4 linked regions of the Lepisosteus oculatus genome follow. The protein of the gene in region 4 interacts with the protein of the main gene of each other region in a pairwise test. Links are inferred from orthologs where the notes say so. Each region holds a gene or a part of one and is shown on either strand. Other genes may lie near its edges. The genes, in order: kansl1b, smc3, kif5ab and traf3ip1.

What was found.
Region 1: the proteins of traf3ip1 (region 4) and kansl1b interact in a two-hybrid assay, tested with the Homo sapiens proteins (2 studies listed by IntAct). The link is inferred for Lepisosteus oculatus from reciprocal best matches to the Homo sapiens genes TRAF3IP1 and KANSL1.
Region 2: the proteins of traf3ip1 (region 4) and smc3 interact in a two-hybrid assay, tested with the Homo sapiens proteins (2 studies listed by BioGRID and IntAct). The link is inferred for Lepisosteus oculatus from reciprocal best matches to the Homo sapiens genes TRAF3IP1 and SMC3.
Region 3: the proteins of traf3ip1 (region 4) and kif5ab interact in a two-hybrid assay, tested with the Homo sapiens proteins (2 studies listed by IntAct). The link is inferred for Lepisosteus oculatus from reciprocal best matches to the Homo sapiens genes TRAF3IP1 and KIF5A.

What each region holds. Positions count from the first base shown.
Region 1 is NC_090723.1:7,954,433-7,962,310, forward strand, and holds the start of kansl1b (KAT8 regulatory NSL complex subunit 1), read right to left. Parts: upstream 3,014-7,878; 5' UTR 2,969-3,013; intron 1,029-2,968; 5' UTR 902-1,028; intron 1-901. UniProt on the Homo sapiens protein: Non-catalytic component of the NSL histone acetyltransferase complex, a multiprotein complex that mediates histone H4 acetylation at 'Lys-5'- and 'Lys-8' (H4K5ac and H4K8ac) at transcription start sites and promotes transcription initiation.
Region 2 is NC_090699.1:39,758,911-39,766,774, reverse strand, and holds the start of smc3 (structural maintenance of chromosomes protein 3), read left to right. Parts: upstream 1-4,849; 5' UTR 4,850-5,076; coding exon 5,077-5,091; intron 5,092-7,864. Other genes in the region: dusp5 (dual specificity protein phosphatase 5), read left to right, coding at 1-68. UniProt on the Homo sapiens protein: Central component of cohesin, a complex required for chromosome cohesion during the cell cycle. The cohesin complex may form a large proteinaceous ring within which sister chromatids can be trapped.
Region 3 is NC_090696.1:18,011,370-18,019,287, forward strand, and holds the start of kif5ab (kinesin heavy chain), read right to left. Parts: upstream 3,005-7,918; 5' UTR 2,514-3,004; coding exon 2,385-2,513; intron 1-2,384. Other genes in the region: dctn2 (dynactin subunit 2), read left to right, coding at 5,627-5,662, 7,806-7,874. UniProt on the Homo sapiens protein: Microtubule-dependent motor required for slow axonal transport of neurofilament proteins (NFH, NFM and NFL). Can induce formation of neurite-like membrane protrusions in non-neuronal cells in a ZFYVE27-dependent manner.
Region 4 is NC_090707.1:21,566,723-21,574,614, forward strand, and holds the start of traf3ip1 (TRAF3-interacting protein 1), read left to right. Parts: upstream 1-4,888; 5' UTR 4,889-5,021; coding exon 5,022-5,144; intron 5,145-7,753; coding exon 7,754-7,822; intron 7,823-7,892. Other genes in the region: agr1 (anterior gradient 1), read right to left, coding at 87-186.

The sequences.
Region 1 (7,878 bases), on a different chromosome or scaffold from region 4:
TGAAGCAAGTCCCACTCCTGTTGCAACATTTAATTATTGTAACACTCCTGTTGCAAATTATTATTTTTTTACTAATAGAACACCATCATTTGGATATATGTAGATCTCTTTCATTTTTTTCTTTACAGCTCCAATCGGTTCTGAGTATTTTTAGATCAACGAGAATGAATGCTTGGCTGCTCGGACTTCGGATGCGGCATTAACAGAGTCCCCGAAAAAAAGACGTACAAATAGTAGTAGTTGGTGCAGAGTAGCACAACAAATGTAAGCAATACTACCTGCAAATATATATAGAAGGGGTCCCCAACAGGGAAATGCAGTCCTGGACGAGGAGGGCTGGTGTGAACATGAGATCAGCTCACTGACCTAAATTAGCCCATTATTGGCTTAATATGAGCAATTAAACAATTTCAGGTGCTGGGGTCTCAAAGAGATCTATAGAACCTGGAGAAACAGCAATCTAGACATGCACTTGACTGTAATGGGGGGGTGATTTAAATTTCTAGGGGGGGAGGGAAACTTAGTTCTGCCGACAGGGGATTCAGATGTTTTCTGGCCTCTGGCATTCTGCTGGCGCTCAGACACGCGTCAGAAGGAATGGAGCCGATTCGTTCTCCGAGCAGGAACACAGACGTGGACAGCAGACCCAGGTGCGCTTTGTACTCGAGGGGCACGGGCACTTGCTTGGGCCAAGCAGATCAGATCAAGGTAAAGCGCTATCGAGATGAAAACTTAACTCCAAATCATTCTGTAAAAAAGGACAAACTCTGTGACCTGGAAATTAGATCTAATATGTACACACGCGATGGTTTCCATAAGTACAATCATCTAAGCATTTAAACTAGAATTTAAAAGTTGCATGTAGTTACAGTGTGAAAAGAACCAGCACTCAAGAACTTACCTGTGAAGCTTTGGGTTCATATTTTCATGGCCCCTTAGCAAATACAAGGCCTTTTCCAAGAAGGTTCTCCCAGGCCAACCCATCTCGCCAGGCAATAAATCCACGGATCCTGATGGAACCAAATTTCCTAAGATCGCGGAAAGGAAAGAGAGTTTCAGTTTTGAAGTCACAGGAATGCTGTCACAACTTGTTACCATCAGTGATGAGGCAAACTGCAAGCTGCAAACGTTAGATAAATCAGGACCACCTGAATCTTGTACTATGGTTTCAATTCAGTATCATATCCATTCTTTCTTGTGCACACAGGGGGATGAACAGATCGCCAAGCCCAGCCCTGTTCAGATACATGTGTCAGAACAGCCGAGAGATGTCCACTCCAGCAAAATCAATACTGTACATATTTTGGCCAGGATTTAACACCATTCAGGTTCAATCTGTATGAAAAGAAGTCACAGAAATATCCACAAAATTGGTTTCTGCAAACCATGAGCAATGATGAAAGCCTTTATCATAGAGCACCCTGTGCAGAAACTTCCCATAAAAAAACCTCTCCATGGATAACGCTTATTATACCTGTTCAGTTCTCTTCATCTGTCCTCTCAAAACAGCATTACTGAGAAATGACATTTTTACTGCAGTTTGAAGCTCTTATTTTATTTGCTGTTTTTATCTGAAGATTCTCTCACTTGTTTTGTTTTTTCAGAGGTACAAACAATATTTTTTGTTTCGATGTATCACTCCTGTTGTGCAAATATGAAAGAGGTGGGATCATATTCCTGGTTATACTGGTGTGGCTGTTGTGAAGTTGCTAAGGCCTCTATTACTTTAATTTTCTCAAATCAAAGTTCCACAATTCTTTCAGATAATCTACGATGATCACACTTATTGGCCTCTGGCCTCAAATACATTTTCAAATGAAATTAACTACTTTCTCGTTAGTCTATTAATACGTTAATTTTAATTTAGACTACTATTAGCATCACACAAACAGTACTACACTTGCAGTAATATAATTGGACGAAAATGTGTACGTTCACAAACTGTAACACCTATATATTTAATACTGTGCAATGAATGAAACCGTACCAATTATGAAAACATTGTAAATATCGAAAATAATTAAAGGTGCCTAAAACGAATGTTTAAACGACTTCGTGACGATAACACGCAAGACATAATATCTATAAATATTACACTGTATTTAGAAAAAAAAACAAATATAACAATAATTTATAAAAGAAACATCAAAACGTAGAAATAAGCGTCGCATTTGTATTTTAAAAAGTCAAAACAACTGAATAAAAGAACGTATTATATACCCGTGGTTACAGTCTTAGTTGTATTCTTTTAATAATATTCATAACTACTGGTTAACGAATTTCTTACGAGCTCTATTTTGAAATTAGGAAACTGTACCAGGCAAAGTGCTTCTTTTTGTTGGCCTTATGCTTTTCTTTACAATTTCAGATCATCTTCATCATTATCCTCCTCCTCCTCCTCATAACAGGAAATAATGATCGTCCAAGTTTGAAAATAATTCCGTACTTACTTGTTCAAGACCCTGGAATTTATGCCTGACACTAAGAACTCCTTACGCTTGTGAGTTAACATCGTTCATTCTTGCACAAAATAATGTTACACCGTTAGTACATCTGGCCTGTGCGTCCAGCTTTTTCTCCAAATATTGGCTTTACTGCTTTCACAACAGTGCATTTTGTCATTAAACTTGACAGATCTTGCGCAGAATGTCGATATTGTACATGTTTTCTCGTTCATTTACTCCAGCAAAAGTTTCATTTCTTTGTAATGATTCATTGTCTGGACATTATTTGTACTGCTGTACACTAAACCACTATTTTGGCCTGTTGACTGTTACCAGAGCAAAGAACTCTCTTTATGCAATGCTGTGCAATTTTAATTCAGCTATCCTACGTACACAAAACCTGACCCTGCCTTACCCTTGTCGTTATCTTTAGTAACAGCAAACGTTTTGTTTCACAGTGTTTCTTAAAAACCCTTATTTTTTTAAAACAATATATCTTGAATCTGCAATCCATGTTCACTTACCTGCACAATTCAACCAGCCTTGAAGCGAAATCGCCCACCCTCTGTGCTTTCTGATTGGACAACGCAGCGAGAGCGGACAGTCTATTGGTAGGCAGGGCTGTCATTCGTTTCGGAGAGGCGTATGATGGAAAGTGTCTTGAATTGAAGTTTGCAGGACTTTTGTTTTCGCAAATGAGAAAGCATGGGTGTTGTTTAACGGGGTAACCCAGAATTTTAACAACACTGTCATTCGTACACTGCACTGTCTTCCTGCCCACAGCATCACAGTGCCTGGTGGATTTTAAGCACGATTCAACTGTTTTCATTGTCGTTCCTGTTACACTCTCTAAATGTACCGTCATAGTGCGAGAGCATTAACACCATTTTTGGGGTACTCGTCTGTGAATTTGGCTTCATTAACTGATACCCTCAGGGTTAGAGGAGTGTTGAGCAGAAAAGGCAACATGTACTATGCTTTATATGTGATGAGACAAATACATTGACAGAAATCAAGCCATCTTTTTAAAATTCAAAACAACTCCCGTGTGTTTTGAAAGGGATTAAGACTGTTTTGTGGAGACCTCAGGGTAATTATATTCCACTTACATAAAACATATTACTATTATGCTGTACTGCAGCATCAACTCTAAGCTTTTTGGTAACTGAAAATAGAGACAGGAGCTATCCAAATTGTGTATGAACACTAAACCACAGGAACAGAGAAGAAGCCTTTATTAATAGCTGAAGGAAATCCACCACTTTTGTGTTGGGGCTTACATACACCACGCTAGCTTTTCAATTTGCTAGAGCAGGGATTACCAAATGAGATCTTCAGGGTTATTTTGTTTCATTAAGTTGTAAAGAGCTCTTCACCTGGAAGATGTGTTAAATTAGTTCAGGTGGGGAGCTGCGTCAGCATGCATCGGCTGCAAAGGAACAAGTATTGGGTTTATTCCCTGCTTAAAAGAGAAGAAAGAAAACATCGATTTTGGCTGTGGCTGTCCCGAAGAAGGCTCCACAGCCGAAACGTTGTTTTCTTTCTTCTCTTTTCAGCAGGGAATAAACCTGTTACTTTTTCCAGATGTGTTAAATGTTCCAAATGAAACTGTAGCTGGGCCAACTTCTCCTTCCTCTTAGCCTAAGCTTTTGACCATATAAAGATGCACAAAAACCTAATAGATTCTAGATCTCAACATCTAGAACTGGGAACAACTGAACTCCTTCCGCCTCTTCAGCACATGCTTCTGTAAGGAATCGAAGTATGCATCCATTTTTCACAAAGCCTAATTGTTAGAGTATTGATATAACAATGGAGAGATCTTAACTAGCTACTCTAATTTGTGTTGCAAAAAAATTCACGATTTGCTGCCCCATTTATATGTGCAAATTCCTGTAAATGTCAAAGTTAAATAGCCCTCTATTTAAAATTGGTCTCTTTTCTTAAAAAAAAACAACAGCAAAGCTGTGCTCCATTCCCCTAACAAAATACGGGGTGGTGAAATGTATAAGGGATGCAGTTAATGTTAAAATGCAGCTTGTGGTCTGGGCACAAATCAATGCATAAAATGCCAAATGTTTCCCACATAGCTACCTATCAGAGTGAAAGCTGACAGGGGAATGACACCCCAAGGTTGACCGGCAATTACAGAAGGCAGGAGACTTCCAGGGCTTTTTCATTGAATTTACAATTCCATTGCTTCAAATCGAACCACTGAGCTTTGGAGAAAAGATACATTGAAGCATTCCTCCCTGCAGTTGTTTTACAGTACGTACAGCAAAAATGTAGACTACTGCATCAGCAGGGACGTGATGACATCAACGAATTTCATAAGATTTTCCAGTCAGCATCGCCAGTTTCCATCTACCTGCTGTATGCGCTCGTAAAGCAGAAGACGTAATAAAACGCTGTTGTCTTGTGAGCTTTCAGCTAAATGAGAGAATTAGTTCATTTGAAACAGCTCCCTTTCCAGGGAGCCTGGCACACACAACAGCCAGCATAACGGCCAGCCTGGCTTCAGTGAGAACACACATGAATATTAGTGTGCAGCAGAAGATGAGCTGAAAGATATAAAAGTTTTGACGCTGTGGTATCAATGAAGAGGTGCATCATTAACTGCATCATGAAATATTTCATGCTTGCTTTTATGAGATTATAAATCCGTTTCACTAAAGTGTCAAATTACAACAGAAAGGGGAACGGGTCTGACTGAGACGTTTCGATTTTACAAGCCAAAGACGTGAAGGGAGCAGCTTACCTGCTTGTGCTTGTGTGGCACAGAGGGAAGTCGCAGAGAAATACTTTTACAAATTATACTGGAGGCAATTACAAAAACAGGACAAGGAGGGTATATCCCGCAATGTGCACAACAGAACACAGCTTGTTAAAATGAAACGTTGTTTGATCTAGGGTCGTGCAGATATGGCACAATACCATTGGTTGCCCGACAACCAATTACTCAATCGTGCTAATCCAGCACAAAGCCCATTTAAATACGGGCAGAAATAGGATTTTTCCGAGTTTGAAACTAGAACCCAATGGCTCCTGGTAAGGAAATCACACAGTTGTAGAAAAATAACAGATCATAGCCCCCCAGTTTTATACACAAGGTCCAGCAGACGACGGCTGATGAAACTGACCTGTTGACAGGACTGTGGGTGAAGGAGTAAAAATCCAAACTATCCAATAGTGATAAAGTTCAGTAAATCCTCCATCTGATGGATAACAATCCAGTAGAGATCTTGCTACACGTACAGACTAATGTTTCCAAAATAACCACAGGGGATCAGTGGTAAAGTGAGTAGTAATTTATTATTACAATTTTATGTAGTGCTTTTAAAAGCAGCTACTCAAAGCACTTGCTGTAAGACACCAATTAAACAAAAAGCCATTCTGAAGATTTCTTTAAGTCTGAATCAGAATATGCTCCCAGACACCAACTCTTTGTTATCCTTTGGGTAGAATTCCAGAGCTTTGGGGCACAGCAAGAGAACTGTCACCCACAGAGCGTACACAAGCTTGGATACTCCCATTAGGAAACCTCTGCTCCAAAGAGACCAGCAGAATAAAAACGAAACATCAGGCGACAGAAATGAAAAAGTGGGTTGATCAAACCTGAAGAGAGTGCAGACGAGTCTGAGTTTGAGCTGTTTGTCAGGAATCAACAACAGTTTGTTCAATGGTGGACTGAAGAGCCGCCGCGTGCATCAGTGTACAATAAGTTGTAGTAAAGCATGGTGGTGGATCAAGTGTGAAGCTGTATCTCAGCAACGGGTGACAAGGATTGGCAAAAAAAAAAGTCAAAGATACCTTAACAACCAACAGATACAAACTTTGAGCATTCATTAAGTGATATGGTTGCCGGGGTACATCTTACTACAATGACCCCACACATCCAGCCGATGGAGCAAAAGCCAAATGGAATATGAAGAGGCTGATGGAAGACTCATAAGGCTGCCAAGGCCTTCCTGATCTCATCGCAGTCTTATGCAGTTACCTGTGTGCTGACAAAGTCAAACAGCAACCATAGCACATGGATGGACTGTACAAAGTGTTAAAAGTCACAATTCTTCAATGGATTGAAAAAATGCCAAACTATATAAAGGGCTCATATACCATGTTGTGAACAACACTTATCGCAGATTTTTATAAGTCTCCCCAATTTAATACCCACTTTATAATGCACTTTAAAATTGTTTTCAAAGTTCAACATTGTTTGCAATTTTTGTCTCTTCTTTGCGATAATGATCCTCTTTTGTTGCCATCTTGAAGAAATTCTCCAGGAGTTCAAAAAACCCTTCAGCTTTAGGTTCAAAGAAAGCATTAAATATGTTGAAATAAATTGGGCTTTTGAAAATTTTAAATAAAATGTACAGTTTTAACTTCTAAAACTTAAGCAGAATATAGTCATTTCATATTGTGTTCTTCTAACATGTAAATGAATTTAAAACATGGTCTATCAGTGTTCTAAAATCTAGGAACCCAATCCTTCCTTGTATACAGTATCCCATAGTCAAATATATAGTACCTCAGCCAAAATAGTTAAAATGTAAAATGAAACTAAAGTGTAAAGTGCACCCAATGACCAATTGTAAGGCTTTGTTCAAAGTAGTTTATTCTGTATTTTTTCACATCCTTAAAATGAATTGCAAATATATATTAACAGAAAGACTTTTGTTTCCCTAAGACTGTACAATTCCAAAATAAGAAAAAAGACACCAGTTACACTTGTAAAATGCAAAAACAAAACGTTGTATGCAAAACTCATTCTGCGGAATTCAATTTAAAACAAGTATTTTCTTAGAAGCAGACTCCATCGCCATACACGTCCACCATATTCCAGTCACTTATGCCTGACATTGACCTGAAAAATGCAGTTTAAATACTGTTTTTTTTAAAAGAAGAATTCATGTCTGATTTAAAACAAAAAAAAAAACAGCAGCACAATTTTGGAACGGCTTGAAGCAAGAGATGGACAATTGTATTAACATAAAGGAATAATGAAAGCTGTAATAGTATCCTTTTTTACACTAGTCATTAGTAATAGTAATATTTCAAACCTGTCTTCTATAAAAAAATATGTATAACAAGGATTACTTGAAGGTTTGGCATATTTAATTCATAATAAAGTTTAAGTGTCTTAAGTGTGCTGAATGCTAGTTCTTACATTACTTTATCGCATTATAAATGCCCACTTCATCTTACACAAGCAAACAGAAAAACATGAAAGCAATATTCTTCCCATATTAACATGCAGCACTTCTTCCAAATCTCTTCACAGAACCTCTTGAGCATTAGCATCTGGAGGTCTGCGGTCTGCACAGACTGGGCGTCTGCTTAGCATGACTCGCCACACCTCAAAACAAGATGACCAATGAACAATCCCAGTGGGTCTCCAGCCAACTTTGGCAAAGTCAATGGAATTAGGACTCCG
Region 2 (7,864 bases), on a different chromosome or scaffold from region 4:
TGACTCCTGTGCCGATCCAGTCAAAGGTTCACCAGTTAAAGTTGAGCCCGATCAGTGCATTGCCTTAACCTGAAGGCTGACGTCTCCTAAGATTACTTGAAAAAACAACAACAAGTCCACGAGCTCAGATCCCCCCTCACAGACCCTGAAAAGGGGTGATGGGAGCGTGGAGGAACGAGAACTTTCTAAGAACGGCAACTGCAGGGCCAACAATGACGTCGTTGCTGTCGATATCCATCCTCATCTCCACAATGAAAAACAAAAGACAGTGATACACTGATGCTGCCATCTTTGATCTGTATTGTGATATCAAGTAGGAAAATCGCCTTACTATGATGATGTGAACCTTATTGTGCTCAGAAAGCCTGTGCAAAGACAAGCAAGTTTTATTAATTTATTAAAATGTTAAATTACGTAATAACTGGCAGGAAGTAATTATACTCCATGCCTTGTTGGTCTTAAAAGTGCTTTTTTAAAAAAACAACAACAAATATTTATTTTGCTAAAGACAATGACGTGGAAATGCTAATAAAGTAATTTGCCAAATGGGACATGGTGGTGTTGTTGTTTTCTAACTGGGACTACACAGAAATGAAAAATTAATCTGAATGAATTAACAGCCTTGGCAATTGAAGTAAACAATCACTTAATTTTGAAGAAGGCTCACTTATCCTGAAGAGGGCTTCACGGCCGAAACGTTGTGTTTTCTCTCTTCTCTTTTCAGCATGAAATAAACCTATTGTTCCTTTGCAGACAATGCATGCTGACGCAGCTACCCACCTGAATCACTTATTTTATTCATTCTACAACTCACACTCAGGTTATCAGAAAGCTTTTTCCTCAGAATCCTCCCTAGGATGGTTTGTTCCTTTTATAGATCTAATTTAAATGTATTCTGCTTGACACCCTAAAAAGGCAAGCCAATTGTTGCTGCATTGAATGCATGTCGCAGTATTAAAAAACAATCCTGTAGTTTCTGGTTGTTCTGAGGATTATTAGCTTACTAGACCACTGGCTTATTGCAAGGCAAGTAAAGTGAGTTAAACATCTGCACACCTGATCTCTTTTACAGGTGCATAGGAAACAATCACTGACAGAAATAAAATGGAAAAATTCATTCGTGCTGTGCTTTGCATATCTCACTTTATTCCAAAAATAGCTTGCATTTCTGTTTCCAGCCTTTAGCTCTGCGTGCTTTTTTTCTTTCGTATTTCCATAAAACACACAGACAGGCACAAAGCAAAACAGATAATTTAAGCAAGAATAATACAGTATGTTCAGTTATTTCACTGGTGCAACTCCGTGTGACTCAGACATGATCCCTTCGCAGCAAAATGACACAAAATGAGGTAAATGATCCCTTCTTGTGAAAGAAACCAACACATACAGTCTATAAATGGTCAAGCACTGATAGCAACCTAGTAGCTTACCAAAATACATGCACAACAAAGACATCGAGAAAAAGAAACGTTAACCTTAACATACAACTTAGCAAATAAAAAACAAGAGGAAATTAAGAAGGTCAAGAACAAAGACGATTCTGAAACCGAAGCAAATTTGGGTATTTTATTTTTCGTTTTTATTAATTTAATATTGATATCAACTTAACAAGGATGTAAAGAAGTGAAGAATGGAATGTGTTGCTCATATGCATGAATTGGACACTAGCACATTCTGATTTTTCAGAAGGCAAGGTAAAGTCAAATCTTGTCTTATAAACTTCACCTCTTGGTCACTCTGATAAAGAAAACGTGCATCGAAACGATTTGTTTTCCTGCAGGACACTGATAGAGTAGGTCTGGTGTTGTTTGTGTATTAAAACAGCTGCGTAATGGAGTGGAAAATTAATAGTTTTTTGTGACTTAAAATGTATTTTGTAAACTGCAGAAACCTAATAACACTCCATGGAATATTGCCCACAGCATTCCTTAGACAGAAACATATTATTCCAGCAGCACCTTTGTAAAAATAAGTATCATAATCACATATCCAGTTTTGTTTCTGGACAGAAAACTAATCATTTTAAGGGTGTTCTCTAACAGAATTGACCTGTGGTAAAAAGCTTTTTCTTACATCTGTAGGTTCGGAAATTCTTTGGTTTGCAGATCTTTTGACTTGGTTTATTCCACGACACAAGCCAAATTCCTGATTGTGATGATTTACACTAGAAAGGAGAACACTGACGTTTGAGATGACATAAAAGTAGGTATTGTGGATTAATGATGTGCTGCGGGGTGTGAAAGAAAAGAATACAATGGGCATGTTCAGCCCTCCTTCAAAACTATGCAATCAAACTGTAGATTGTTTGTGTCCTGATCTGTTTTGATATTTTTCAACATTTTCCCATTGACGTTTACCTAGAAAGTCACCCCAGCCCACAGACAGTTACGTACGATTTGCTAAATTGCAGTCTGGTCTTTCTCTAAATGTCATGCCACTTTCATTTGAATCTGTGAAACACTGTGCTGCTTTTGCAATCTATCAGCACAACAAATGGTCACATATATCACAAAGTCTAAATGTAGAACTGTTTGACAGACAAAAGCATCCTATCTCTTCCTCAGAGCATGTCCAAGTCACTGTGAGATAGACCTAGTCACAAGCTTATTTATGCTGTTTCTGTGAAAGGCTTTTATTTTCCTTATTTTTATTTTGCTTTAATGATAACTTATTCCTTTATCATCAAACAAAAAAAGCAAACAGTGGCATTTTTTAAATTTCATTTTTGTATAGTCATGATTTATGCTTTTTTGGTTTCGTGCTCTAATGCCAGCTGTGCCAGTGGAATGCTTCTTTACATTAAAACCACCTTGAATCTTTCATTTAATGTCAGCTTAAAATGAGCATCTTGTCACCCCCCTGAATGAGCATATGGCCCTTCCCAAACCCATATAAAAAAAACTGCAGTGTATGTGCCTGCTCTGTTTTGTGCTTTGTATTCTGCTGCATGCATACCTGGGTTATACCCATGTAGTGGCTGTTCTTTTGAATATGGCAGTGCTACTATAGGGTACAGAATGTACTCACTACCACAAGCAGTGGATTTTGAAATACAAGTTCTATGGCTTTAAAAGGGTGCTAATTTACGACATCAGTGCCTTGTACTTTCATTTAAAAACAAATGTGAGATCATCTTGGTAAACTTTATATGCATTATCCCAAACTTTTGGTTTTTATTTTATTTTTGCTCAGTGGTAGGGGACCACTGCTGGCAAAGATGTTGGATTTACAGAGAAGAGAACATCTGCAGCAATCTCCAATGTAGCGCAGCAATAATGTTAGAGACTAGGGGTTGTCGGCGTGGGAAACTGTCAGTCCAGAAGATATATAACACCCTTTCCAAACTCCCTCGGAGTCCACTTGATTGTTCATAACACAACCCACCTTTTCGACTTTAAGCATGTGCTTAAATGCGTTAACAATGAAAAATAACTCTAGAATCCCATGACAATGAAACATTCTCGATGAAACGATGTTAGATTTGCGCCATATTAAATACCTCTCTCTTTAACTATGTTAATTTGTATGTTTTCTAGCCATTAATTTAAAATGTGACGTCTGACATTTGTCATCTTACAATACCTGTCATTGTACTTGAAATTTCAGTAAAACGATTGGACTTATTAAATCTTAAATCCAAATCTTGAAATATTTGGGTTTTACGGCGTTTATTACACATCTAAGACAAAACTATTACAATCTGAGAACAGTAAACAGCGCCACCTGCACCCTAGTCCTTATACTTTTGCAAACGTTTCCTTTCACGTTTAAAGCCAAAATTGCATTGACAGGAAAACGGTTTTGACAGAGATCCTTAGAATGTAGTTGCAAGATACAGTAGTTTTTTTTTCAATTACTCTACACATCAGGCCCTCAGTATTTTTGTAAAATAACATTTTGAAGCAGTAGTTGCAATGGAAACGACAAGACTTTTGGATGGAGTGGGTAACAGTCGGCTAATGTAAACAACACTTATTAATATATTTTCATTGAAAAAGCGTCTTTCGCTCTGCATTTATTTACAAAATGGAACAAAGTTCACACCACTTTTTCACGGCAACCTTCAATTGCTTCTACATGGCCAATGGCTTTATAGCAGATACGGGGAATGAAACGTCCTCAGAGCACATCTGGTAGCCTGTTCAAGGTTTGCTGTCGGTGAGGAATCATCCGTGTTTATGTAACGTCTACCTGCCTGATTTGTATTTTTTGTACTCATTTTTCTTTGGTCTAGAATTAATATCAGCATTACCCATCTTTATTAGCCCGCATTTATGTTTTTGTGTAAAACGGACGTACATAGGTACACATCACATTGATTACAAATCAAAACTCTGTAATCCGTTCGGGTTTTTTTTTACATTGGCGGGAACGGGAAACCTAAAGTAGTATCTCGCTGCCAACAAAGATGGCTAAAAATAATCCATAAAATCACTTCACGACTGTCGACATGTAAACAATGTAGATAAAGAGGATTTGTAGTATATCTATCACCGCATATTAAATGTCTAATAGTAAAATGTAGTTTAAAATAACATTGAATTCAGTTATACAGTATCGACTACAGTAACGCAGTTGAACACACCTCAGACTCTGCAGCTTTGGCGCCGAACCTTTCACCTTATGTGGTGCATACCAACTGTCACACATAGGGTGGGTGTTAAACACTAATGACGAGAGCTTTTCTTTAATTAAATTTCATAAACTTAAAATGATATTCTGGAATCATACAGAATTATTTTTGTTTACAAATATTATTGACGTCCAGTGTCCGCCATGCTTGGTTTCATAATTATTTAATTTAACCGACCTCCCCTACACTGGACAATTCAAGCATACCCAATTTGCTCCCTCCTCCTGTCGCCATCTTGGTGCCTGTTGTTTCTGTGTTTTCATGGGGGGGGAGAGTTTGCTTTTTCCGAATAGTTTGCTTTAAATAACTTCATTCTAACCATTTATTGATTAAAATTGATAGCTTTTCGCTCCTTCCATTCGGTGGAAGGAGAGGAATTTTCCAGTTCCCTATCGTCTCGTTGATTTGTCTTTTGTGAGGGAAAATTACCTGGGAATCCGAACATGTACATTAAACAGGTACAGTAAAAACTGCTCTTCTTCTTTGGTGGAGAAAAACGTATTCGAGAGGGAAATTAGAAACAACGCCTTTCAGATTAGACAGAGTTCCTTTGCCTTTGTAGCTGTTGGTGACTTGAATAAAATTGTGAAATGGTTAAAAATAGTTGCAACTTGGGCAATGAATGAGTTGACGTCCGTGTTTACAAGCCTTCATCGGGTAGACGTTGGAGTTTCTGTACGTCGGGTTTGAGCCTTGAAATACGACGGGAATACTGTAATCTTTTTTATAAAGGGGTAGTATGTTGCTTGCTGAACCAATATTGTTTTGCAACCAGGAGTTCGTCAGCTGAAAGAAGTAGGCCTCAGGCTATCTAAATATCTGCAGGAAAAGGGGATTTTTTCAGAGATGAGTGCTTAAACTAGCTTTCTTAGATGGCGAGCTGCTGCTGTTGTTGTTGATTCTCTTGCTGAACATTTGGCTTGTGATGTTTCTGTGCTGAATGACGTAGAACGATGGGAGCAGGGGAGAGGGCTGTCACATTGTGTGATCCGGAAAGACAAACGAACCGAGGAGAAAGTTCAAAGGTCCATCCCGCATCCCAACACCACCGGTGTTTCAATCTAAATGATTTAAAAACAAGTTTCAAATCTTAAGAGTGATTTGAGGTCCGAAAGTCTTCAAGTGCTTGAAGTTGCAGCCTGTGTTGTATCTACCCAAGTGTGCAGTTTCTTTTGCCTAGAGGCAGGTTAAGCAAAAGTGGACAGTAAACCCCAGCTCGAAATGAATACTGTTAGCTTTACCTGGGATCATACTTGCAGTACGTAGGAGGTTTTGCTCCGAACGTGACTCTGATATCGAAACTCATCGGTAGTAGCTTGGTAGTTGATAGAAGCGATGACTGCATTGTGTTTGTGTGGGTGCTTGTGAGGGGGTTCCTGGAGTCCATGAACATCCCCCAAACTGCAGCTCAAGGGTGATTTATGAAATTCAGCAACTATTGTGCTGGAGTTTGAACCATACTGGTTTTAAACATAAATGCCGCTTGCCATTTTGGGTGCCAAAGAAGCAAATAAGAAAGTAAAAGCAAAAGCAAAGTGTGAGATAAAGGAAAAAAGAATTCAGAGCTACAATTTCACAGGTTACAACAACATCCTTTTCAGAGAGAAGAGGTAATCGGGGAATTGAACATGGGGTTCAACAGATAGTGTCTCGGACAACTAAGATAAGATAAGATCACTTTATTGGCCATATACAGTTTCCTGCATTAGGAATTCATCTTTTTGCATACCCCAGCTTGCTCTCCATGAGACACAGACACACAGACAGAGAGAGAAGCTTGGTGTCAGAGCGCAGGGTCAGCCATTGTACAGCACCCCTGGAGCAGTTAGGGTTAAGGGCCTTGCTCAGGGGCCCAATGGAGTAGGATTCCTCTGCCGGCCGTGGGATTTGAACCGGCAACCTTCCAGCCACAGGCGCAGATCCTAAGCCACAGAGCAACCGCTATTTCTATTTCTATTTGCACTATTTCTGATACACATGCTTTTACCAGTGCATGTTAATACACACACACATTTATTACATAAATCAAAGAAGTAGAAATCTCTAAAATCCTATGGTTTTTACAAAAATCTCTATAGTGACAACGTGAGACACCTGATAGTAGACGGCAAGCATTTCCACCAAAGGGAAGCTAGATGGCTGATATAATGACTTAAGTCAACTTTTCTATGTTGAATAAACCAATATGTCTGGATTTTCTGAGAGAAAATACAATTAACACATTTCATTTAGCACAGTTTTAAGTATATAATACTTTGCTTTATTAAGTTATTGAAATGTTATTATTCATTATTGAATTATTATTCATTTTTGTCATTTGAAATATTTTAAGTTGAAAAATTGAAAGACTGTTTGCCTTTAATGGTTGGTTTCAGAAATTGAAATTGAAAGCGTTCTAGAATTTAGCATAATCTCTATGCAATATGATGGGTGTCACAATTTCTCCTGAATGTTTATCTTTTCAGGGTGGTGCTTAAACACTGACAATGCCTGTAAGATAAGTGTCTTTCCCCCCTGTGTAAATTAACCAGTTGTTTAGAAAACTATAGAAACCCAAAAATTGTAAAATAATTTTTAATTATAGGTGTGTTTGAAACATTTTTTCTTAAATTGAATACACATAAAGTGTATTAATAAATTGTGGAAACTAAGACCTGAGTGTTGAAATTAAATGCCTGGTTCAGTAAATTAAATTAATCAACAGCTCTTTTGGTACAAAAAACATAAGGTGCTTGGTACACTAGGACAAAGGCTGGAGAATTTCATCTAGATGTCTCCACTAAAAGTGCTGTTTTCATCTTCCTTCAGTAATTACAGCTTAAAGCACATGAAGTCATTCTATGTGGCTCATAACATGCAGTGTCTTGAAATTAACTATATTTGAATTGCAGATTTGATTTAGTTCTTTGTTTATACGGGTAGTAGAAACTGATGTAGAGGTAAGGATTTGAGATTGTAGCAGTGTATGAGAACCAACCTGGGTGAACTTCCAAAATTATCTCTACATTTACTTTACCATAATCCCTGCTCCAAGAGAGCACCTTTTCAGCACCTCCCATTAAATCATACATTTAAAACATTGCTGTGATCAGTTAAACAGGTGACAGTCACAGTAGTGATCTGACAATTAGCAATCTTTTAGAAGAAAAATGTAATGACCCTTGAGTTTCCAAGGGTTCTTAATTGGTATAAATCTTAATAAAATCAATTCTTAATTGAGAAATCACTTGA
Region 3 (7,918 bases), on a different chromosome or scaffold from region 4:
CTTGTGAGCACAACACAACAGCCACAAAGTGAGCTCAGGCTGCACACCGCAAACGTCTTCAAGGAAAAGTTTTTGATGTTGTACTCCAAGTCAAAACAACCAATGAAGGAAGCCTCTCAGTGCTTAGGAAGTACAACTCACGAATGGTAATTAGCTCTGTAGAACCAATTAACCAGCACAACACAAACAACACAGAAGGCAGACATTAGGTCAGAGACAGACCCGGTCTGTTCACAGATAACCAATGAGCTGCAGGAGGAAGCTTGACTGGCCAATCGGAGCTCAGGACTCTCAGGAAGCGGAGATGCTGCTCTTGTCAGGCTGACCACATGGATCCCCAACAGTGGAGGCTGTAATCCTGGGGTGCACATTCCCCCTTGGTGGGGGGGGGTCTGAGGGTGCCAGACAGGCCAGGTTGGTTTAGAAGGTAACATATTGAAAACACAATTTCAACACAAGCACTTACAGTAAGTACAATGGCTTTGTTTGATCAAACCTACGTATTTTAAGGTAAAATCTTAAGGTGGAACTTGAAAAAGTGTCATTTTGAATGTATTCATTTTACTGCAACATTAAATATACATTTCTAAAAAACGTGTGATTTTTCATGTACTCTTAATTTGACTGTGAAGTTAAAATAAATGTATAAGTGCTTTGAGAACCCACCTTTAAAGGCGCTATATAAAATAAAGTTTATTATTATTATATTATAGAATTCTCTTTCACTCTGCAGTGATGCTGGTAGTTTAGGTTTACAGGACTGGCCATCTTATGAGGTTCATGATCAGGGGAGTGAGACGAGATCTCGGGAACCAGAGGGGCGCAGGACTACGGCACAGGTGAGGAACTGCTGCCCTGCTTGCTAAGGCACTGATGGGGCCACACGAGTGCCTGCGCACAGCCGATAGCAGTGATCCCATTCCGTGAAAGAAAAATGAAAGCGAGTGCGGTCTTCAAGGGCTGGGGTGCGTGAAAAAAGAGAAAATTAGACGCAGACGCATTTGACCGAACTTTACGAAGCTTTAATGCTTTCCTTGCCGCCGACAGCCCTGCTGCTGGTGATCGTCGCAGGTCGGCGAGTAAATGAAACAAAACTCATCTATTCATCCTGCATCTCACGACAGGCGGCGCCTCGCCGCACCTGTCCAGCCGTATTTCTGTGTCATTACCGAATCTCCATTATATACAGGATATAGTTATTTCTCATTCTATAATGACCATTTATTTTAAGCGGATTTAAAAGCAATGGGAAAACGGAATGGGATTCATGGAATTCTGGTTTACAGATTTCGTATGGCAGGAAAAGCGACCATTAGTAAAAGCTTTCCCAAGAACATGCCACTTCATCTTATCGACCCGGCGGCTACTAATCACGTTTCCGAGGGAGGCTCAGCGACATACACTGGGATTGTAATGGAATATTCTGCTCGCCCGAGTCCTCTCGGGCCGGTGGATGATCACGTGCCCCAGCAGGCGCTGCTGCACCTAGAGGTGCATAGCAAACTGGCTTTTATTCTCCCCCAGATGTGCCCTTTCATTGCAGAACTGAGCGCTCGACTGGCCCTGCACATTTATTTGACTTTGATCGATGCGATAGTACGAAGGTACGGGTTTCGCCGAGGCGCGCGCCGACTGTGATTACATTAAACTGCCTCGCAGCCCAGTGCAGAAAGACCTTTCCTGACAAGGCAAGTCGTCCTGCTGTTGTTTCCGCTGCTTTTATTCTAAGAGAGAGAGGCGGTTAATTATTCTAGAAATGAAATGTATAGAATCGTAATGAGAACACTAATGCAAACATGAAACTTGTTAAATTCCCCAAATATTTTCGTTATCCCAAATGCACAGGTCACGCACTCCCTCATTACCGTACTGCAGTGGATAATATTCAGTAAACACTAGCGCACTCATAAAAGCTTAGACCCGCAGCGAACGTCCGGGGTGCTGCTGCACTGTAATTACTGATGTTTGTGGAGCCAAAAACATATTCCTCCGTGTTCTGGGGTGTGGACAGCGAGGTCTGGCGTGTTGACCGCCCATCCGCGTAAAATACCACCAACTGAGATCAAACAAACGAGGAAGCAGCGAAACTAAGTCCAAATAAAATGTCATTCTAAACCTTATCGAGAAAGCGAAATCCTTGAACGTAAGGTAAAAAAACAAACCCCGTAAAGACAGCAGAGCGATACCGGCACAAATGATTCAACCTTAAACCCATAACATCGCAGGGCTTTGGAGCACTGTACTTGTTTATTTGTAGGTTTTAAGATTCGTTCCCAGGCAGGTACAAAACACGGCACACCGGACCCTCCCCGGCGGCGTCATCTTTGAACAACAAACATGACGGGCAGCAAAAAGAAGGAAAAGGCCGGGAAGGGCGTACCTACCCCAATGATAACCGTGTCATCCCCGCTGAATTTCGGGATGAATTTATCTCCTCGCACGACCTCGGCTTGATTCAGCGGGCGAAAGCGGCACAGCACTTTGATATTGCATTCTGTGGAAGCATCGGCCATTGTGACGAATTCGGATGCGCTTTTGGAGACACTGAAGAATTTTCCTGGTGTTCTGGCCTTTTGTAGGTAGATCTAAAATCAAAACAAAACTGGGAGACAAAGGCTTTGTCCGAGGGTGCGAATTCCCTTTAGAACTGCAGGAAAAAATATAATCGGAAAAGCGAAAAATAAAAAAAAGAAAGCCGAGCGCTTTATTGCATTGTCTACAGATTTTGCAAACAGGCTACACCGTGGTGTATGCACTACCGCGTTTAAAAACAGGATTTTCGTACTGGTCAGCTAGACATAAATATTGGTATCGACGTAAATCCCTTTGTTTAAATATGTAATTAATAAGAATAAAACCCGGACGGATTCTGGCAGGTCTGACTTGAAAATGTCGCTTATGAAAGGGCTAAGACGGAGCAGGTTGGCGCTACAGTCCCATCCGAGAACATCAAGCAGAGCACTACGGCAAGATAGCGCTGCAGCAGCACCGCCACTCCGCGCTTTATGAGGCGCGGGGCGTGTCCTGGCTCTCCGGCGCGGCCGTGCGCTCGCATCAGCACCACTCAGCGCCGCGCGGGGGGACGGGGGCGCCTCGCCGCTTCGCTGTTCGGACACAGCGTTGTTTGGACACGGAGGGGAAAGAAAAAGGACGGACATTTCTGGAAATCCGTCAACATGCTACAGTCTAGTTAGGCCTTATTGCCGCACTTTATTCGATAGTATAGTGCATGATACAGAATGCATTTTCAGAATTCCCGGTGCTTTATTATTAATTATATTATATTAATTCCCGGTGCTTTGTTATTAATTATATTAATTATTGGGCTGAGTTGGACAACCCGACTGTTTGTCACTGGTAGATGCAACCTAATATTGCTCCTTTAACGGCTAAAATAAATAAATACATGTTAATATAAGAGTGAGAGTATTTGTTTTAGGCATTATTTTAGGGGGAAAAGTCGGGGTATTTGCTACAACTTCCCAATCATCTGAGATCTAAAAGCTATGAGCCACATGGTCCGGGTAGCCTCCCTGCGTTTGTAACCTTTTCTGTGTCCGTAAACAAACATCTCGCTGCGGGTGACGCAGCACTGGAAAACACAAACGCCTGAGCCCCCACTGTCGGCCCCCGAGTCCGGGCGATTGCAGGAGCCTGCGGCTGTGACGTCACAGCCCGAGGTGGTGACTGGGCGCTTTCCCTTCCTGGAACCCGACCCACGTGGACAGGGAGCGCGAGCATCGATCTGGAATCCGGGAGGCGTCAGGCAGAACCAGGAGTGGGAGGGGGGAGGAGGAGAGAGGAGCCAGAGTCCACGAGCGGTCCGTGCAGCTGGAGAGACATTTACTTTCTATTTCATTTCCTTACACCTGCGTGCCCTTTCACAGTTCCTGCAGCCTGTGCTCTGATCACTTCCACGTTGCTTGCTATCTACCAGGGTAACCGCACTCCCGAGCGAAAAGAATGCAATCAGTTCATTAAAGGCACGTAGGTCTAGGCAGATCTCAATGAATAATAGGAGGGAGGGAGGAGCCCAGCAGCGTCTGATGTCTGTTCAGACTCATGGTTTCTGCATGTTCCTGTTCGAATATTGATACAAAACATGCTGCCATGATGACAACCGGCGTAATGTCTGCTTGCTTCTTCTGTATAAGCTTTTTCTGGACACTCCACTCGAAGCGCTTTACAGGTAATGGGGACTCCCCTCCACCACCACCGTGCAGCCCTACCTGGATGATGCGACGGCAGCCATAGTGCTCCAGAACATTTACCACACATCAGATATCAGTGGGGAGGATTTTTAAAGACCACAAATAGTCAAGACCCTGGTTTTACGTGTTATACGAAGGATGATGCCCTTTCACAGTATATTGTCCACATGGACCGCAGGGTGAGCGCCCCCTACTGACCCCACTAACACCTCTTCCAGCAGCTTCCCCAGGAGGTCTCCCATCCAGGTACTGACCAGGCTCACCCCTGCTGAGCTTCAGTGGGTTGTGAATTGCTGAGTGATAGAGCCGCTGGCTATAAGAGGTTAAAGGTAACTAAAAGAGAACAAAAGTGGAAATAGAGAGAAGTGATAGCCCCGATAATAAACTACAGTACATATTCAAAATCACAAGCTAAAGAAATATTAAAACATATAGTGTTGCAAAGTGAGGTGTCTCTAAATTAGATTTCCAAGGGTTTTGGGACTTCATTCAAACGGGACATTAAAATGGATTTCAGTATTCTCAAGAAACTGATTACTGTACTGTTCCCTTCAGACTGAACAAAGCTGAAATTCAAGTTTACAGATTCATTCTTAGTCCCATTACGGCCATAAACGTTGTAGGACTGACGATTCAGCATTATTTGGCTGGAATGGGGGACACAATTAGACCATTTGTTCTGCTTAATCTGCTCTAGATATACTGAAGTTGTCCCTGCACTAAAACTTAATGTTCCATTCTTAAGTGGTTTCCGGGATTATTAGGTTTTAGTTTTAAGGCCGCTGAATTGGAGTGTGTGTGTCTGCTAGTTGATGACGCCTCAGACAAATTACAAACACTGACATGAATTTAACGTTTGTAAATATTATTACTGTCATATCAGCAGAAGCAGATGTGACATTGGTACCACGTTTTTTTGGTTTTGAAAATCGTAGCAATGGATTTTGAAGTATTCCGAACGAAACATGACAATACTGTAAAGTACATTGAAACATCAGCTCCACCAAGAGGCAGTTTTTGAACTGTGGAGACTAAAAATAAAATCCATACAGATTAATACGCGTGTTTTCCGTAGATTTGACGGAAGGCCACAAAACTCGATACAGTACAGTGTTTCGGCAAGGGTACACAAAACAAACAACACTTCCCACAATCCCTTGAGGTATCGCATTACCTCATCCTTGTCTCGTCTCGGAGATAGGATCACGCGAGAGCACCGGCTTCTCGCTCTTTGACTACCCTTAGGAGCTGTCAAACCCAGGGAAAATAGCAGAAAGGCGTATTGTGTTGCGAAGGCCTTGTTATTATTTTACCGAAGGGAAACCTAAACCCTGTACTTTCGCTTGCAAATAGCCGTCGCCTTAAAAGCCGCACTTAACCGTCTTCTCTCTACTGGCGCTGCAGCCTCAGCAACAATGGCGGATCCCAAGTATGCTAATTTGCCAGGCATTGTAAGTAAAAAAAAAGACGGGATGCTGTATACCTTTATAGAACAATGAAGTGTTAATCTACTAAAAGCGGGTCGATCTTTAAGCCATAGATGTGCCGGACGGGCGGTGGGGTTCGCCAAAAAGGCGGGTTGCTTTGTTATTTTGTGTTATAAACCGCACCCCAGTTTGAAAGACTGGATTCACGGGTCCCACAAGTGACACTTGACGAATAATGTCGAGAAGCGTCCAACTCGCTGTCTGGGTTTGTCGTGACTCAGTAAATCGAGACGACCGTTTTGTTGTCGCCTGTGGGAGTGGTAAGGTGGTGATTTTTTCAGAGTTGGTTTACCGGGTACCCGTGGCGCCGGTGAATACCGGGCAGTTTCAGGAGATGGCGATGGGGCCGATGGTGTTTTTAACGGCCGAAAAGCGTTGTTCCATCAGAACCGTCACGTCACACCTGGGAAACCTATCTGCCCACCGGCGAGGTGGTAGTAATGGTCTTGTGTGTGATTGTCTGCAGCCATTCAGGCCTGCTGGTGATGAAAGCGGATTTGTTTTCTGGGCGTTGGCTGTGCTGAGGTCCGGCCAGCAGGAAAGTGCGTCTTTAAAAGACCCAGCAGCGACGTCGTGGCGGGACAGGGGTGGGAAAGTGCAGGTCACCCCAGTCCTGGTCCTGCTGGCCCCCAGTGAGTGTCTGTAGATGCTCAGAATCTCTCTAAAGCACCCAACGAGTTGGGAGTAATAAGTTGATCCACTGAAGACTGTAACCAGTTGGTTAGCTTAGAGAGCTGTAGTGCAAACCCGAAGACATACTGGTATTCCAGGACCAGGATGGCCAAACTTGTACATGTTTGTTCAGTGATCGTCCATTACAGGAGAGCAGTGATACTAGACTGCAATCTGAGAGGGTTGGTTAAGGTGGCTGTCCCACAGTTGTAAGTATAGGGTTCTCAATACCCATACTGAAGACCCCCAGGTCTTGGGCTTCATTGCAGTTGAGCCCTGTATTTTACTGAATCGTGAACTGAGCCATCAAGGTGCTTAATTAGAACCCTTGCAGGTTTGTTTCTTCTTTTTCTTCTCATAGGTGGAAGATTTTAACTTTTACCTTTCTTGATGATCTTAAAAGGCAACCTCCTATGCGATTAGGGGCCGAAAACCAAGAGTTAATATGAAACCTGATATCGTCAGCTGTAGGGCTCAGTTATTCACTCGAGCGTTGCGAGGGAACAAAAACCAGCAGGTGTGGGGGTCCCCCATGACTAACATAGGGACCCCCTGTTGCAAGACAAAGGGTGAACTGCATCACCTTAACTGTTATCGTTGAATTCATTTTTTGTAATCTACAAAACTGACTTGGGGAAAAAAAAAACAGTTTTTCGGCAATGGGCAGACATTGCAGCTCTTTGGCTTTCCTACCCTGGTTCTGGAGAGCCCATGTCCTTCAGGCTTTACAGTACAGGCATCTTCAGAGGACACTATTTTCATTGAGAATAATTAAGACAAAAATAGGTTCAATTTAAGTGACTGGCTGCTTTGTTGGAATGAGATCCACAGCGCAGATGACCTACGTTATCGCATACAGGAGGCCCATCATATCTTGAACATGTAGTACAGCTTGTTCCCCACTAGAGTGGTTTATGTAAACATGCAGAACAAATTAAAATTAAAATCCATTCACTAGCAAATCTCACAGATAAACCAGAGAGATATCAAGTCAGCTGTTCTTGGAGATGGGGAGAACAGAGACTATAATGACCATTACTGTCAGGCAGTGGGGAAACCTGAAACCAGGACTGATCTGCACCAGGTTTGTTAGTGCAGGAGAGGGCTTTTGAGAAGGTTGTTGGAATGACGTAATGACCTCTCCCTGACAAAACAGATGACTGCTTACTGTGCAGCAGAAATCCTTGGTTCCTGACCTGAAGAGCCGCAGGATCTTGTCTTATTTTATTCTGCCTGAGCTCTTAATGATTTCACTGAGTGAGTGACTTAAATGGTCTGTATTATAACAGTGTTCTGTCCTGTGTGACCCACGGAGGGTGTAATTTCCTTGTGAAAGCTGCAGAGCTTTCACTCTCTAGCGCCAGTGTGTGAGGATCGCCGTGGAGCAGGAGCTGGGTGGTTATTAAAACAGACAGCGTTTCCTTGTTCTTTCCAGGCCTCCAACGAGCCCGATGTGTACGAGACCAGTGACCTGCCGGAGGATGACCAGGCCCAGTTTGAATCGGTGAGTCTAGTGGTTCTGCACCCTGACCCCGGAGGACCATTCCT
Region 4 (7,892 bases):
GTTTCGATTTTGCCTGGGATTCCAAACCCTAATTATTCACACTATCCAAGATTTGTATTTCACAATGTTAGAAGAGCTGTACTTACCCCTGGAAAGGGTCTGAGGGACCTTTTTTGCTTTTCTTTGAGCAGATACATCCAGACTTGCTACAACAAGCAGGATACAAAGAACAGAGGAGCGACTCATAGTTCTGAAAAAGACAGATCTACTATTAATACATGTACTATTTCTTTTTCAACATTTTAAAATTTCACAATTAGCAGCATTTAATGGTCTCTGTTTATGGCACAGTCGAAACAATTTCGTGATGTACATGTACAGTAGATGCATTCTAGTTTTTTTCTAGATGTCTTCTGAAATAATTCTGTTTGGATTTTGAATCAAGATTTCAATTATTAACACACCCATTTTACTTTGAAATGATACTTTAGATTTTAGTGCTATATATACTTGTACTTAAAACTACTGTATAAAAATGAGTTTGATTTCAAATACAAAACTTTCCACTTTAAATAATATAGATTATAATCCTGCCTTTCATACAGTATTTTAACCTTTGTTGTGTACCATTACATTTTAAAGATGCTCCCGAGTTTGTCTTATAACACTTGAACCAGATATCAATGAATCATCAAATTGCCTAAGCCCTTGAAACCCTTTTGAAGCATATATTTCAGAATTTTAAAGACATCAGAAATATCAGTCCCATGTAATACTGCTTGCACTTCCACAATCTTGTCTTTTAGCATTCCTGTTTCAGGACTAACCTGTTCTAGGAGGAGATTCAACACAATTGTTTTAAGAGAGAATCTCTTCCTACTGTATTTCTAGCACAAAGTGTGAGCGTTTTACAAATGTAATACTTTAGTTTTCGTTTTGTTATAATTGATCTCATATAATAGAATGACACAACAGTATTTGAGAAAAGTAAAAAATGTCCTTAAGTTGCATGTTTCCCCTTTACATCAGATCTGTCCACCCTCTAATGTTTTCCATCTATTTGTTTCTGTTTTGGTTTCCAATAGGGTTGGTTTATATTTTTCTATACTGACGTTTTGACAGCTACTGTATAGCAAATATAGAATTACTTTCCTGGGGGAATGTCACAGCAAAATTCTGAATTAGTGATGGTTTCTTTATCTCATGTGGACTAGCTTGATTTAGAACACTTGTCTCCAGTTTGTGGGGATTACAAAGAGCTGTTATTTATTAAGTTTAACTCTTCTTCAATTTAATAATTCCCTTCTTTACTCAATTATTATTATTAATCACTTATTTATTTATTTTTTTGCTATATCTAATGCTGACAATTAGTCAAATATATTTGTAAAACCAATTCTATGATAATCCTGGTTGACTAGAGATGAGTAATACTGCTTTTAAGTATTCTACAAGAATATTTACCAAGCAGATAAATCTGTTTCAAAGATTGAACTTTTTCAATCACCTAGATACAGTACGAAAGAGCCAAGTTTCGTTCTTACCTGTTGCTGTCTTGAAATGTGAGTGAATGTTCGTTGAATTCTTACCTCACAAGCCTTCTTTTTATAGTCATCTAACTCATCTAACAGGTGTAGCAAAGCTTGAACGTCAGGCATAACAAACCAGGATATCCTTATCTTTGAAACACACTATTCAAACACGCCTCAGGGTAGGGAAGTACTTACAGTACATAAATGCTTATACTGCACCTTTAAACCCAATTTTAATCCCATTGATTTTAATCATAGGTGGAGAAAGGCTTCTTCATAATATATTTTTACTGTTCTGTATTTTTTTAACAGAAATGATTCAATCTTTTAATCTAAATTAAATTTTTTAAGTACCACTCATTTTAAACCTACCTGTGGTTGTAGGAAACCACAGGGAATGAATCTATGTTTTGAACCTAGTTTTGAACGCTGAAATTAAATTACATCTTTGGCATTCAGGTATTCAGGAAAATTAATGAGAAAGATCTAACTATCAATGTATTTAGTGACTTACTTTTTTATTAAAAACAATAATTTATTCAATGTTTTTTTCTCATTATTCATCTACATTTAAGAAGCAAAATATGATGACACAAACAAGATACTAGAAATTTTCATGAACCACAATAACAATACTTCTGAATTTTATGCTTGAAGACCTGTATTAAAGTACATCTTGGTACAGCACCAAAGTACAAGATGAGACTCACTCTGTAGTATATGTTTTACTTTTTTTATGGAATTATTGTCCTTTTGTAGCTAAGATTTTTTAAAAATCAATACCTGGTTTTAAGGTATGTTATTGATTAACTTTTTATTAAATCATTTCACTTTTATTCAATTTTGGCATGAAAGAGAGAGAAAAAGCAATCAACGTGCTTCTGTTTATTAACTGATTCCACTATTTCTATTTCTCACTTTTTTTTATTCCTGACGTCCTTGTGTTAACAAGCTAGTGATCTTTTGGCATTCGTTTTTTTGTAATTTATTATTTTAAAAACAAAAATATCATTATATACAGTACTTCATAACCCAGCATTTTTTCCATATTCCCATCCTGTTATGTGATTGAAAGCACGCCTAGACAAAACACAGTGCTACTTAGTGGTACACAGTTTCAGAAACCATAAATCTTTTTCAGAAAAAGCATTAAACAAAAAAGAAAGAAAATGTACAGCAAATAGAACAAAAAGTACACATTTCACGAAGAAAACGGTGTGTTTCATAATCCCCTGAATGCAACAAGACCTTAATTGCTTAGTATACCCTAACCACTCAGAGATGTGCACATCAGCTATAGCAAGCTCCCCAACTGTAAGCACGCTTTTCATCTGTTCCCTTGGGTGTGTCCAACCAAGTCATCTTGACGCACACCTGATAAAGACCTATTCAACTATATTCACCTACTGTATGTTCTTTTATTGAAACAATTTACTAAGTAGTATTATAAACTATATGCTATGAATGAACATTTTTATCACTGTGTCTTTCACAGGGTTTAACTATTTTCTAATCAATTTAAACTTAATAATAACAACATGTGCTTAAATTGGCATAGACCTTTTCCTTCCAAGAAATCCCGAGTGCTTTTCACAGAGAAGGGGCCCACTTCATCCATCACTGACCTGCACCACCCACCTGGGTGACACTTTGCTGCCCCTATGCGCAAACAGCCCCTGTACATAAAAGTGTTAATTTTTATGCAGCCATCTCACTTCACAGTTATTATGAATTAGGCACTTTATTTAATGAAAAATGATGTTTTCCGAGATCCACAATACTTTATAAAGCGTTCATTCTAGATTTTACTTCTGATATTACAGTAGGTGTTAAGTATTCTTTATTCATATGAAAATGAATTTAAAAATTATATGGGATCAGTAAAAGCAATAATCTAGTTATGAAGATTTCTAACTTCCTGGATCCCCGTACAGAAGAACAAACAAGCTTCCACACTTAATCATCTTAAAAGTGAAAGATAAACTAAATGGTTCACCAGACATTCCTGTTTCAGGGTATATCCTTGTTACTACCTTAAGAAACTCTTATGTTTAAAGTTAGGAGTGGCTGCAGGATCTCTGCATTAAAGCACATTAATGGTGATGTGCTGCTTACTTTCAAAGTAGTTTACATAAATTGCTTGAGGGGTTATTGAAGATTTTGTGTAGAGAAATTGGAGTAATGTTTCCATTGATGGAATCTAGAGAACATGAAGAAGTTTAATCTGTAAAGATTGCTCTTGTAAAAAGCACAGTTTTGTTAGAGTTAAATGGGGAGAGATAAATATCCAATGTGTAATTATGAACTGTTAAGTTATGTTTTTTTAAATGTTGGTTAACAAAGCAAATGAGAAAAAAAACCAAGGTGATTCTAATTCTATATAATTGTGGTTATAGTTGCAGTATATTTTTCTATAAAAGCTTTTTTTAGCTACTAATACTAAGGTTTTCACAAAAGAAAGAATACAGAACAAAATATTAGAACTTGAAATACATATTCTATACTGGACAATTAATGCGTCAATCATTTTTATACATTATATATGGGACTTTTTAGATTATAGATTTTAACTTGATATTGTTTAAGCTTTCTTCTATATAAATTTCCTTTACAAACATGCAAACTCATTAATTAGATGGGGGTAATTGATTGATTGATTGATTAGTTTTTAAAATGTTTTGAAAGAAAAATGCAAACAAGTTTCAAGTTTTAAAAATGGTTTCCTTATTTTCCATCTCATTCTTCACAGACACCTTTAGGTTACAGTTTATCTATACTTCCTAATTTTAGATAAAGGTACAAAAAACTATGGCTTTGTGTTAGTGCTAGAGCAATTATTTTACTTTAGAATTATTTACTTCAAACTTGGTTTTATTTCCTTTTCTGTTATTAATCTCCTACAGTACATTTTATATAAGGATTTTTGCTACATGAATAACAAAAACTCTTATCCCATATGGTAAAAATTCAAATGATGTCTATAACTCAGATTAAGGGGTGTTGATTTTTTTTCCTCATCAGGAATTCTTGATAACTTATTTGGCACAAGAACATATAAAGATCAAGTTCAAACTCATACAGGGATTTTGTCAGTGCTAACAGCTTTAGTTGTTCATTAACTTTCCATTACTGTAAATTCAGTGAAACGTTCTAGTAATAATTGAATTAAAACAGTGTTAAAACATTGATCAATAGCAATAACTTAAAAATAAGAATGAAATAAACCATGAACATTTAATTAATTTTTCAGCTATAAATGCCCTGCAGATATTTTGGTTTTTAGAAAAGGACCTCAAACGATCCAATTCTAAGAGCCTTTGGAATTCTTTGCATTTCAGTTGTTACTTGTTGCTAAGGATGCAAGCCTCGCTTGACAACCATACGTCACTTGCGCAGGCGCAGCTAGGTTTAGCGATGCATTGTGGGATCGGAAGATACCGACGTACTGAAAGCCCAGTGATTGCAGAATTTATGTGGTGAAGTGTTTCTTTCGGTTCGTCTTCACCTAAAGGACTTTTGTTTTGGCGTTTGTCTTGCTTTGCTGCTGCTATGAACGCGTCAGTGACCAAGAAGACCCAAGATACCTTGGGAAAAGTGATTAAGAAGCCGCCTCTTACTGAAAAACTGCTTAGTAAACCGCCGTTCCGCTACCTGCATGATATATTCACCGAGGTGAGAAACAGAACTGCAATGACTGACAACGGGAAAAATTGGATTTGTTGAAATATCCGTGGCTTGTTTGCAAGGAGGAGTTTCTCTGGTCTGTGTGTGTTTGTTTCGGAGTAGTGCATTTCAGTGGGACTAAGTTTGGGGTGAGGCTGTTCAGGAATAAAGAGTAGTAAAGGCTCAGCTGCAGAAAATTTAAAAAATGCAGTTAAGTTCTCTGATGTAACCTAAATAACTGTATTTTTTTAAAAAACGGACAATAGTCGGTTTCAGTGTAAATGCTGTAAAGGGTATGCGGTGAACACCTGAACTGTCTGAATGATGTAGAATCGAACTGGCGTCTTCTGGTTGCTAGGCACTGGTCTCTGCTCAAGTACACTAAACAATGCGAGGCCTTGATGAGTTATTTAAATACAGGACCGTAAAATACAAATATACCTCATCATTTTCTGCCCGGTGTTTGATTCCGTCACGCTACCCTTTATTTAAAAAAAAAGTTTTCTGTTCCATAGCAGTTGGTTTTAATCCCGTAATGTGTCCCCACAGAGGACACATTACATTAATCGCTGTCCTGCTGTGTCATGAAAATGGTAGCTAAATAATTTGTGCTGTTTTATTGTGCCAGTGTCGCTAATTAATATTACTGAGGTGTTAGCAAAACGATTATTTTACTTTGTGTCGCTCAAATCCAGTATATAATTATTACTGATAATTCAAACAATTTGGTCTAGCAAAGCATTATTTTATTAGGAGCAACATCTGTACAGAGATTAATGCTTTTACCCTTTACATCTTTCAAGAAATGGCTAGATAAATCCTTGAATGAATTAATTCTTTAATTAGCAAATGGGTTAGATGAACCAGAAGGACTTATATCGTTTGTAACTTTTCTTATGTCTAGCTGTTTCTTAAAAGCGCTCAATATTTTAACCTTAACCTGAAAAGGTTGTTCCACAAGCCAACAACATTTGTGTTAAGAAGTGTTTCTTGTTTTCCATTCTCAATGAATTCCCTGTGTCCTTATTTTAATACTGAGAAAGAATTTCCTGGCTTAACCCTTGACATTTTATATACAGCATTTTATAATTGCATCTTCTCTCAATCTCTGCTCCCTACATTATTGTATAATAAAGCCCTGATTGTAGGAATTATTCTTAGAAAGACTTTAAAAACTAAATGCAATTGTAAAGTGAGGTCCTTGTAGTGCATTTAAAAAAAATAAGTAGATATTTTCTTAAATTCTGCACTTTTTAATATAAAACCAAGGATTCAATTTGCTTTTTTATTGTTTTATCAACTTTGTTTTATTAAGTCATTGCTTAGAAGTGTCTACATTAAAAACCCCTTCATGTGTAGCTCCCGACAGTTCACCTGTATGATATACAGTATGTAGTATACGATCCTATTACTGTAGCAGTGTGAATAACTGCACTTATTTTAAATTTGATTTGCTGTGTATCTGTTTACCCCATGATTTTGTCTCTTCGTATTTCTTTTGCTACTGTGTCTATATTTGCTGCTCTCTCTGTTTTTGTATCATTGTTCATCAAGTTTATGGTCGTGATAATATTAAGTCTGCTTTGGTAGTACGTCATGGTAAAACTGTGCTACTGTTGTATTACCATGGCTAATTCTAAAATGTTCACAGGTTAATACGCGACTTGTGGTGTCTTCATATTTATGAATAATTAGCATCTTGCCAATCATTAAGGTCTTCAAATCATCATCATTCATCGTTAAATGATCACAAATGTCTTCCTGAAACTCTTTGCTATTTTTTGCTCTGTTTCACAATGTGGAACAGTGACCCTATCATTGTTTGAATTTGAGAAACAAAATCAGTGATGTTAATTGCGGAATATTTTAATTATTGAAAAATTACATGAGCAGGGGATTCAGAGAGCCTGTTCAAAGAGTTGCTTTGTTGCGTGATAGAAGTAAAGCCAGATGACTCGTCTTAAAAATAGCAGATTGAAGCAAGGCCCAGCTAAGATTATCCTGGGAGGCTGAGCTTGTATGAAGAACTTAAAAAATTAGGAATGACATTGTATGCAGCATACGTTAAGTGGGAAGAAGGAGATTATTGATCTGCCAAGAGTATAACATATAACGTATATTAGACACACTTGTGAACAATGCAGTTTACTTTTCAAGAACTGTAAAATGATGTATGCATGGAACACAGTCCCAGATTTTTGTTCTTGTTCTCAATCATCTGGATTTTAGAAAAATTTTTACCCTTTCCCTAAACAACATGTTTTGTATAGGCAGTCCCAGGCCTGTAGTCTGCATAGAACAGAGAACCTGTGGCATGTGCTGGTTATTTTGTGCACATTTGGTGACAAACGTGCTCAGTGTTTGTGACATTTTCAAACTTTTTTGGTAGGGTTAGGGGAGTCAAATGAAAGTAAACTCATGTAATATAAATTTGAAATTGTACATTTCAAATTACATAAGACAGTCCGCTAATAATATAACCTGTATGATCTTCAAAGCTTGATCTCTTTTATTATTTATTCATTCATTTGGTTTATAATCAATGATCCAAAATCCTAACATTCTGGAACCGGCTTCATTTTATAATTGGACAACTGTATCCATCCTGTTTTTCACAGGTAATAAGGACCACTGGGTTTATGAAAGGCCTTTATTCGGAGGTAGAAACGAAATCAGACAATGTCAAGGTAAGGTGGTCTTATTAACCTTAGCTTTCACATTAGTTCAGGAACATTATTAACAGAAATAAATTGCAGT